2 linked regions of the Neodiprion lecontei genome follow. The protein of the gene in region 1 interacts with the protein of each later gene in a pairwise test. Links are inferred from orthologs where the notes say so. Each region holds a gene or a part of one and is shown in the gene's direction. Other genes may lie near its edges.

Evidence for each region.
Region 2: the proteins of DNA replication complex GINS protein SLD5 (region 1) and probable DNA replication complex GINS protein PSF2 interact in a two-hybrid assay, tested with the Drosophila melanogaster proteins (2 studies listed by BioGRID). The link is inferred for Neodiprion lecontei from reciprocal best matches to the Drosophila melanogaster genes Sld5 and Psf2.

Annotation. Positions count from the first base shown.
Region 1 is NC_060261.1:11,940,824-11,946,116, forward strand, and holds DNA replication complex GINS protein SLD5, read left to right. Parts: upstream 1-2,233; 5' UTR 2,234-2,379; coding exon 2,380-3,033; 3' UTR 3,034-3,957; downstream 3,958-5,293. Other genes in the region: transient receptor potential channel pyrexia-like, read right to left, coding at 250-509.
Region 2 is NC_060264.1:16,899,204-16,905,586, reverse strand, and holds probable DNA replication complex GINS protein PSF2, read left to right. Parts: upstream 1-2,030; 5' UTR 2,031-2,155; coding exon 2,156-2,400; exon of another isoform or gene 2,401-2,507; coding exon of another isoform or gene 2,508-2,518; intron 2,519-3,675; coding exon 3,676-3,784; intron 3,785-3,962; coding exon 3,963-4,124; intron 4,125-4,422; exon of another isoform or gene 4,423-4,433; intron 4,434-4,862; coding exon 4,863-4,907; 3' UTR 4,908-4,980; downstream 4,981-6,383. UniProt on the Drosophila melanogaster protein: The GINS complex plays an essential role in the initiation of DNA replication.

The DNA of each region.
Region 1 (5,293 bases):
GGTACAATTCAAACATAAGAAAGTATGAAGAACCTGCAGCTGTAGACACATATTCAAACAATAGAACAATCAATTCGGATGGATTTTCGCACAACGCAATACGTCTTTTTGAAAATTTTGGATTAGTAGCTAACGGCATTAAAATAAACCCGGTTCAATACTTTTTATTTTTTCTTCGTTTGCCGAGGAAGGCTGCGTAATTTCAAGATAAATTCGAAATAGCGGAACCAAAATTAACATATACCGGACCGTTCAACCTCCGCCAAATTTCCGTCAACAACCGCTTGAAGGAGTTCCGTATTCAGACGCATAAGACGGCGATCCATTCTCCGTTTGGCATTTTGATGTTCTGGAAGCGTTTCCGATGACCCCATTGGCGAGGGAGACATCGGATAGTTTGGAGTTGACGGTACAGCCAACGTGACCATTAACGGAGGCAACGCAACTCGCATTTCATCGTCAGGATCCGGTTCCCCGGTAGGCAAACTGTTGTAGCCATACTTCGACATCTCTTATGTATAGACGAAGACACGGGGAAACTCGTAAAAATCGACTACCTGAATACTGACACACTGCAACAACTGTTTTACACTTAAATATTAAGACACATATATTCTGTAACCGGATTCACCTTCGGTCAGTACTAAAATGAATCGATGTTGACAGTACGTATTTTCAAATACGCTGGAATTATATTTTTTTACAGTTATACCTGACACACTGATCGACTAAAGATTACGATAACCGTACATACTTGAGGCGGTTACCAGTATAGGCCTCTAGTCTAGTGATTCATAATCTTTAAAATGGACTAGATGCAGTATCTCCTAATCGCTATCAGGCTGTTTACAACAACGTCATGACAGCTCGTAGAATCTTTGTCGCTTTAATTACATCTAAGTGATTCTAAGCTGATATACTCAAATATCGCTGAAATGGTTCTCAGTGATCGGTGGATCAAATTGATTTTAAATCCTTTTAAGGTAATTGACTAATAGCGGATCCTTAATCTTGCATATCGTTAAGTTTTTATGCGATGTGCTATAGACCTTCGGACTGATTCTCTCGATACCTGAGTTGTAAAAGAGATATAGTGAACGTTTACGATAATGATTTTGTGTATAATTTTTTTGGCTATAGGTATATTTTTCAAAAACCTGATGTTCACCATTGAAATAGAATATATGTATATATATAAAGAATCATATAGATATAGGAATCTGGAATCATGATAAATAAATTAGCTCAGTCTCCGTTACTTGCTATACGACACTGTGAAATACCTTAATTTTTCAATGGAAACTTTGGATTGGTTTCGCGGAAACTTATCCCTCTCTCGGAGAAGTGTAGCTATCGATGAGGCAACTATACTTTTTACTTTGTACAAATCTACAAGTTTTCCATGACAAATATCACCATCGATTTGAAATCCAACATTTTTTCAGAAAAATGAAATAGTTCACGATTTGTGAAAAATCATCACGTTCTCATTTGAAAAAATCATTATTCTGACAATGGTAAATATTCGTTTATAAACAGCAGTGTTGATAGTAGTGAAAATTGTATGATTCTCATAAAATGAACTATAGTTTGCTGGGAAGAAACCTTTTACATATTCATAAAAACTATTTTATTTTTTATAGCAAACACATCTCCCACTACGGGCAGCGATCATTGTTGATCCCTTTGCGTACTGTATTTAAAATATAAATTCGTATACATCAGCGCGAATGTAAAGAAATGTTTGAAATACAAATTGTTGATGGCTCATAAAATAATTTTAGAGCAATTCTCGATTATGCAGGTTACATTATTTGAAGGTGTAAATAGGGTTTGAATAGAAATATACATGCACGCTATTAATGCTGTATTGATTGTTTATTATGAAGATAACATTTTCAAACAATAATTGTCAATTGGTGGAACGCTTTGGCAGTAAATGACCAGTAAATACCACCAACCGCGAGTTAGAAAATTCAAAATATGATATTACTGGACTGCCACAGTTCCTTGGCGGAATATACCCAGAGATGTACAGACAGAACTAGTCATTAGCTCAAAAGATATGGCGGGTAGAGGTAAGGAGGACTAGAAAGTGTTCGTAAAGTAGAGGCAAATTAGTGAAAAAGAGATTAAAGATGGCTGATCACGGCACTGAAGATTGATTTCGGAACGCATTGGAACGCATTCCCAAAGTCATCGTGGAGATGGCCCCGAAGCAGAAGAGGATCTACTCTTCCTATAGTTTGCGGTCGTGTATGGCATAGTCAATTGGTGACATCTCGTCTCAGTAAGATTTGACATGTTCATGTTTTTGTAAACATTATTCCACGCATTATTCACATTCGGTCCCGAGAACCGTTGTCACTCTGTCTTGCAATGGACGATAGCGTAGCGGATGTTTCAGAGCACTTGGACTCTAGCGACAATGAAGAATTCACGCCCGGCAAAGTATTGCAAGACATTGAAAATGCTTGGTTGAACGAGAAATTTGCACCAGAGATATTACCTCATCAATCAGAACTCGTTGATTGTATGCTCGAACAAATTTCTCACATGGAAGAGAACATGAAAAAATTGAAAAAGGGTGACATCAGGCTAGCTATTCATAAGATGGAAATCGATAGAATACGATTCGTTATAAAGAGTTACCTGCGAACGAGGTTAGAAAAAATTGAACAATACACCATACACATTCTGTCAGAAGATGACAAAAAGAGTCCGGAAGAATCTTACCTAACTCCAGGCGAACGCAAGTTTGCTAAAGAATATTTAGCCAATATTGAAACACTTTTCAGAACAGTTGCGCTTCAACACATGCCTGCTAATTTTCAAGCATTCGAAGTTGATAAACTGACTGTTAAACCCAACTTGAACAGCCATGTCTTTTTGCGAGTCAACAAACCTGTGCAAGGAATCATCGTGCCTGGAACGACAAATGATGAAATAGATTTGACGGCTGGTGCACAGCGCCTTATTCAATACCAGCCAATCGCAAGCTTAGTGAAAGAAGGAGCAGTTCAATTGATATAGATGTCACGTAACACATCTTGTTTGACTTCAAGTTGAAAATGATCGATAATCTAGTTATAACAATACCGAAAACAAAAATTATCAAATAATAATTTCAACAGCACAATTAATGTTTTGAACATAGGTTTTGTGAATTCAATGTCTCCGTAGAATAAAGTAGAACAAAGTCACTACAGTATGAGTTAAAACTTCAGAAGTTTAACCATCGACTATTTTGTTAGGGTAAAATTTCGTATCATCCTTAAGGTGAATAAAAATCACGGTTTCTATAATTTTCAAGTAATCACAGTGTTTGTTATTTGAAAATAGATTTTCCAATAATAGTTTCTGCTAGGTTGTTTCTGCTATATAGTAATATGGTATCAGATTCACAATACAGTTGACCATAAAGATATACGATATATTAAAATCGTTGTATTTTTTTAGTTGTTGAAGTAACGTTGTGTTCTTCCAATTAGATTAAATAGATGCATTTTATTAATTCAATGTATTTGTTCATTTGTATTCGAATATTTCCATTACCTCGGCTGTATCATGAAAATACAGTCCTAAGTACTTATGTTTTGAACAATTATGCCAATACATTGATACAGTCCGTAAACAATGATTAAAAATGAACAGAAATGGTTGAAAGCTTGAAATACTTTAGGCTCCTATATCCATCTCACAAAACTATAAGTGAAACCTAAATATTCCAGCTTCAGAAAATCCAAAACCTGTCTTTTAACTGTTCAACTTCTTAGCGAAGCTTTAGTTTAATTTGTAAGTTCTAATTTGTAATATTCTAATCATCAATTGTGCCTTATATAATTCAATTGTAAAAATGATATTTTTAGAGGGACTACTTGCGATACCTGTTATATTGTTACGGAATAATTACGAAGCATATAAATCTCGAGAATTTTGTACAAACAATAAATTGAACAAAATATCAAACCATGTCTTTAATCTTTTTGGGGGGGAATTAGTGAATAGTCCCTGGTGTTCGATTATTAATTATAGAGGTAATCGGCACAAAGTGGGGCAGTCGCTAATGAACAAAATCGTAATTACTCAACGATTGCAATTGCAATTTGTGATTGAGGCAACAATGAAATACAAATTACGTTTTCATTTTCTAATGAGAACAAAGTAAAATACAAAATATTTTAGTATATGAGTATGTGGTACACACATACATATACTTTGTACACGCCCGTATATTTTTGTAGATACCCGCAACGAGAAATTTTTTATTCAAAATACGGTGATTAAGACTTTAACGAAAGTTATACTAACAAATTGTAATACGAGATCGAATAGAGATATTAGGTAATTTTCACAATTGTAATTGATAGTTTATTCCTGTTCGACATCGCAATAACGACCACCTTATGCCCAATGCTCAACAAACCCAGTTCCCTTTCTTACATTCGATTTGTTCATTTATCTATTTACATAGTACAAATAAACATTCGAAAGGTTCTCAATGATTTACATTTCACACACCTTGATGCTCACACACACTAGACTGCTTTTCCCGACTGCCTCCTTCTTCCATTCTCTTTTCTTTCACCCGCTCGCTCACACATTATCACCGTTCTCACATCTTTGGAATCAGTCGTTCGAACTCATCTGCCGATCGTTCGCACCATGGTTCGCACCCATTCAGTCCAGCACACCCGCCATCCCTCTAAACATTCCGCTCTACATACACATATATAATTTGTATTTTATCTTTTTGTAATCATGAAACGCCAATGTAATTTGTAATGTATTTCGCACTAATCGTTACACGTAGAGAGCCCGTTTTACCAATTTCTTCTGCACTTGTATTTGAATTCAATGTTATTTCATTAAGTACGTTTTAATAAAAACACTGCATTAAATTTCATATAAAATATTGAACAAATAATACGTTGAATCGCAAAACTCTCTTATATCTCACAAAAACATCATTTTTGCGGTTTAATTGAGTGACGTTATTTACTAGATAAATGCTCTCGTCTCAAATTTTTTTGGTCCTACGACGGTAAAACTCTGCTGGTAAAAAATTGAGAAAGTAATTCAAAGTAATCATGCCCTTGAATCCATACACTCATATGTGGTAAAGCTAATTCAATTTAAAATGTACAATACCTATTTGAAATATGACAGCTGTCATTATCAGTTAATTTATTGTTCAACTAGCTGTCTCAAGAAGCCAGTTGAAACTACCTAAAGTATTACCTTTGTGTTCGCTTGTACAATAAATTGCCATACATATACGAGTCTCCAGTTG
Region 2 (6,383 bases), on another chromosome or scaffold:
AAGCCTCTCAACTGGCTGCGAATATCAGAAAAGGAGAGGGGTCCATACATTGTTGCTACTGAAATAATTTTGTCGTTCCGATCTCGCATCTCTCAAACTTCTTAAGAAATGCTCGTCAAGACTGATATAAAATGGGCGTTTTTTTTTTAATAAGGAAAAGTTTTGACAGTAATGGAAAATAGAGATTACTAAAAACAAATGTATTGTTTTTTAATAACACCGGCCCAATTAAATTTTAAAAGGCTTATGGCTGAATAAACTTCAGATTTGGGTTTAGCGGACCAAAATGCATAAAAATCATACTTGGTCTATAGTTCCATAAATTTTTTTCTTACCAAAAATGCTAATTTTTGGCGATTTTTATGGTTTTTTTGCAATTTACTCAAAATTTTGAGGGTGTACGGGCAAAACTGACTTCAGATTCGGATTCAGCGCGTCAAAATACATAAAGATAGGTAGGTCCGGTCAAAAGTACAGGCCACTTTTTTTCTGTGGGCCGGTGTTATTAAAAAACAATACATTTGCGTTTAGTAATCTCTATTTTCCATTACTGTCAAAACTTTTCCATATCAAAAAAGAGGCGCCAAAAACGCGGAACAAATCGATTCGCTCTCGGAATTTTATTGTTTCAATTATTTGTTCTCTTCCGGGTTACCCCCACTACAAAAAAGGTGGGTTCAGTAAAAAAAAAAGCAAAAGGAAAGAAGGAAAAAATCGACCGGCTCTCGAAATTTTCTTTCTTTGATTTGTTTTTTCTCTCCGAAAATACAAAAAAAAAAGCCGGGATTGAATTTAAAAATAAAAAAAAAAAAAGAGTGAACTGCGATCGAACCCGTGTCCCGCATCACTCCATCCTCATGTTTTTTTTTTTTTTTTTGAGGAGGAAACCATATTTATTTAGATGAACAATAAATGCTCAATATTTACAATATTGCACTTGTAATTATCTTAGTTTATGTAACTCCGGCTTAAATTTTAAGCTCGATCTAACATTTTGTTTTACATTAAGTGGTTAACTTATTTTTTAGTGTTTTGTTTAAGACTTGAATGCAGTATTATAGCAAAGGCAGTAGTAATTAACTTAAATACAGGAAAACTTCGCGCAAAAACCTGTGATTGAAAATTCATCCTCATGTGGTATCCACTCAGCCACACCACAGCTACGTCCGTGATCGCGCGTTTGCTCGGTATGTTTATGGAGCTTGCTTGGAATTCGCTGATGGTTCTCTGGAAGATTCAGTTCGAGAAAAAAAAAATTTCCTCCAACCACTTGCCCATTGCACATTTTGCATAAATGTTATCGAGCTGGCTTCGTATATTTTTCCATAGACAGCGCGTACAAATATTCGAGAACACCAGGCGTCACATATTTTCATATCAATAAAAAAATAATATTTATTAAAAAAAAAGAAGTATTCGGGCTGGGAATGGTTAATTATTTTGGTTCAGCGTCCGCTAATTGAATCCAAAATTTATCAAATCTGGAGATACTTTTATTCGCTGACATTCATAATTGAAACAAAAAAATCCCAATTCTTGCATTCCTGGAAACATTAGTGCGAGCGGGGACAAGGATGCGATTGGCAACCGCTTGCTCGAGCGACCGAGTATATCTATATATGCACGATTGTGGGCCACCTTCGGTGCATGGCCGCCTAGGTGTCAGGTCGGAAATGGGCCACCTTCGGTGCGTGGCCGCCTAGGTGTCACGTCGACGCTCCAACCTAGCTGGTATCACGAAAAGCCGAGCGTTGGAGATCTCCCTACTCATCTCTGCTTAGAGCATGTAATCTAAGGACCAAAGCGTTGACGATTTATCGGGTAATATGCTTGGCTTATTTGATTTTTGCTCAAATTCTAGTAATTTAATCGCGTCTCCAACCGACTGCACTGAGTGCGATTTCCCCATTTTTTAACCAATGAGAAGAGCGAAACCCTGGAGAAAACGCACTCAGTGCAGCCAATCAAGAATGGTATAATATTTTATCGATATCGTGGTAATCGAAAGTTTGATGAATCGCATTAGTCGATTAATTGCACCTCACGACGTCGGTTTTTCAGACTTGAAATGTCGAAAAATTTCGCAACGATTAGCAGAAACAAGTTATAAAATCATACACATGTCGTTGATAGAAAAACAATTCTGTTGTAAGACATGGATCCAAATGAAGTGGAGTTCTTGGGGGAGAAACAATTGGTGACAATTATACCAAGTTTCACTTTCAATCAGATTCATTTGATATCTGGATCAATTGGACCGTTTCGAGCCGGCTTACCTACTCAAGTTCCGATTTGGTTGGCAGTTAATTTAAAACAACAACAAAAGTGTCGCATTGTCGGTCAAGAATGGATGGACGCCAAGCTATTGATAGACGTGAAGGACGAAGAAAAAACATCCAAGTTACTATTAATATTTGCCCCACGCGATTCCAAATTCACGGAATCCCATAATCTGCTTACTGTCAACCTAACCTAACCCAACCTTTCTTGACATTTCTTAACAAATCATGAAGTTGAAGTTCGTAACTTGAATATAACTATACATTTTTATAAAAAATCATTATTTCTTAACAATGAAACCGCCTGATAATTAGTAAGCCGTAATTCAGCATTAACAAACTCCAATTATACAAATACCAATTCCAAAATATTTCTGAAGCTGCAAAGTAATGATTTACTTTTATTCCAACGTTTCGTTACGTTAATGTTACTAATTATAGCTCCATGACAAATTATGCATTATTTTAGATGGCAACACAGATTGATGCATTTTTTAAAATTTTCATTTTCTCAAATATCAATCATGTCGTTACATAAGTTACGTATGAATGTGGTTTGATGTACCGTTCCTTGTTTTAATGACTTTTCTCTAGTGGGGTTGAGGTTGGATTAACGAAGTTGAAGGTAGCGACAAGCTACAGAAATAAAGTTCACAAATTCTTAAAACATTCGTGCAAAGTGTAAGAGAATGATAAAAGATACACATTTACAGTCTTGATAGATAGAACTCTATGCATAACTGAATTCGAAGTGTAATGCAATAATGCCATTTATGAAAAATAAATTATTACGCAACTTTAGGACTATTCATGTTATTGCTATTTACGTAAACATGCATAAAAAATATGAATATAAACAAGGTATGAAGTCTCATTGATCATGCGGGGTTCTTAGAGAACTGATTCGTAGATGATGAACTTGACTAAGTTTTTCAATTATACACATTATCGTAAGCTACCATTATCAAAATTATGTGCTTTCAACACTACCACATAGCCAAGTTGAACTTCCATAAATAGTCGATATTTTCATTAATTACATAGTTAATTGCACATTTTTTGTGTAGATTTATATTGACGAAGAGAGTTTTGTCAAATTGACCCTGAATTATAGTTTCCCGAACACAAATTTCAATAATCTTTATCATAAAGTTCATTAGCTGTGCAATGAATTTTTAAATATAACAATTTTCAATTATTAATTAATATTTGACTCGCAATTCTAGTGTTACCTAAGAAGTGGTGTTTAATATCATAAGCATTGTATTTGTGGAGCATACAGAATGAATGCGAAAGATGAAAACATGAAAACTGTGATAGCTCAGCCTCAATTATAACATGTTTTTTTCAATAATTAATCTACATATTAAGTAATTGATTAAACTTTGTATTTCAGGTTTTTCACAAAAATGCCTAGTGATCACTACATGGACGAAACTCTCATGCTTTTGGGTGTAGCTCCAGAAGACATTCCACAGGCTGAAGAGATCAGAACAATTGTTAAGGTGATCAAATTTGTGCAAATCTCACATTTTATGCACTGCGAATAATCGTTCAAAAGTTTTCTGACTCACAGCCCTTGAATTTAAGATCAGATAATCGAAAATCAACATGGTGGATACAAAAATTTTTGCATTAAAATTGTTATTTTTGTAGACTCAAGAGGGCTAAAATTTGTTCTAGGATCTGTGGGATATTCGTATGTCTAAATTACGTACTTCAGTCGATGCCTTCATGAAAAGTGACAGCGCATTTGCTAAACTAGACCATTTGACACCGATGGAAATAAATTGCATACGGCCTTCGCTACCTCATGCTCTTGATCAGCGAGATCGCATTCAAACGGTATGCATTTTGTTTACACCAAGCCATGTATGATTTTACAGATAATGTTCAGCTGTATACTTCCCGTTTTCTATCCTTTCTGTTCTTGCAGAAAAATTACTAGGAATTTTTAGAATGTTTTTTTCCAAACCAGCCCATAATTTCGTAACAACTTGACATGAATGTAAAGTTGCAATCAATACTCAGTCAATTATTTAAGAAATGGGTGTAGAGACTTGTTTCCCAAAGTTTCAAAAGTATCAAAAACCTCATTGCATGCGAAAATTTTGTAAAACGAACACAGTATTGCTGAAATGAGGAGATCAGAAGTTACAAAGTTTATTCAAACTTTCAACCTTCTATATTTTGACCTGTGTAAATGATAACTAGTAATCCTGAACTACTTCATTGTAATGATTATTGTGAGTTTCAGTCGAGATTGAAGTTTGTAAGTTAACTTTATTTAACATTATAAGAGAATATTTCCCGGGTTTTTAGTTCGAAAAGAAGTACATTTTGATTTGTGCCTTGCGGTTTACTGCAACTTTGGCACATTTCAAATTGCCAAATCGCAATTTAAAAAGACAGCCTCATTGCGTTAAACCTGAACACTTCAATTTCCTTCTTATTCCTGTGTGACTGTTATTGAAATCCGACCTGGATTTCAAGATTGTGTAATTTTCATCTTCGTATTCATATACCTACATATCTTTGGAATCGAAAAACAGGTTAGAAATAACGAAATTCTTTATCTTTCAGTGTGGAAGCAGACCAAGAGATTCCCAGGACACACAGCGTTCATAGAATACCTGTAATATAGTGTAGAAAATTGTTCATACTTGTAACAGCCAATAAGATAATTGTTTTACGCTCCAAAGTTACTTGTTTTTGACAGTATATTATGCATCTAATATTGTTATATCTGGCGTTGACTGAAGACTATAAAGACAGTTAGCCTTACGGGCTTTAGTGTGACAACCGAAATTCGCCGCGCGCTTACGCCCTCTGCGGTGTTCCAGCGGCGGAGTTGGGAACTTATTGCAAAGCATCAGACGGTTACCGATCACGACATGATGTTGGTTGCAATAACCTTTCGACTAACACAGTCGTCGTAATGGTAAGCCCAAGTCAATATTTAGCTTGTGCGTACTTACCGACTTATAAAGTTACCGAATCGTCAGCGATTCAAGAAATTAATAATGAGAATCAATTTCTTCCAAAATTCCTAGCAAAAACGTGATTTAATTAAAATATAGGTACCCGGGAAAAGTATGTATACATGGATGATAAATAATGATAGATCAGATGTCATAATGATGCAGAGACCAAAAAGTATATAGGTATGTATATGCGGTCCACGTACGATATTAATATATATGATCCATACGTGATGCATACTATAAATTTTATAATTTTCCAGGAGACAAACTAGATTATCTACAACAATACGTTTATAATATGAAATTAGAACAATTATTCATTTCGAAATGGGATTCTTTTCGACGCGCGCTCGATCTATTCCACAACATTAATATTCGTAATTATTCCAACAACTTTTCTTTTGCTCTCTCGATCTTAACTTTTCGTAGGCATAGAATCGAAATACTGTTTCAGCTAGTCGCAATTGAAGTATCTACGTTGGATAGAGAAGCAATGTTGTTTTTCGAAAAGTGTTCGTATGGAAAAAAATTCAGAGTAACTGTAACACATCACGGATGCGCTAATTTTGATGGAGATGTAATGGGATGCTCCGTATATGAGACAGTATTGAACGCAGTGTTCTGATTTAGAGGCCTAGAAAGGTGATTGTCGGCGATTTTTATTTTTTTTTGATACGGAGAGAAAGAACGCAGGTTCTTATAGTTAGGGAGCTGGGTGCCAAAATGATATATGATTTGATCATGTTTCACATTGATAGGGATGAAAGTTCAGATCAATACGAATCGAATTGGTCCAGTCGCCGAAGGTCATATGTCGTGGACTTTTTGAGTTACAGCGCTTCAAAAATGTTTAAAAAAAAGGGTGTGGTAAATTATTTAATCATGTCTGCCGTTTGGACTACTGGTCAAAATCATCCCAAAAACGAAGAAAATCGAAGAGGCAGACATCCAGACCGTCGCATTATCACGGGATGAGGTCGTAAAAATGTAAAAAAAAGCTCTACAAAATCATTTGATCATGGTTCTAGTTGTGCCCATTCGATTCATTAGGACTTAGGAAAGGCAGACATTTTGGTGACTGACTTTGAAGCGTACAATTTTTTTAAGTGCGCGCAGAATC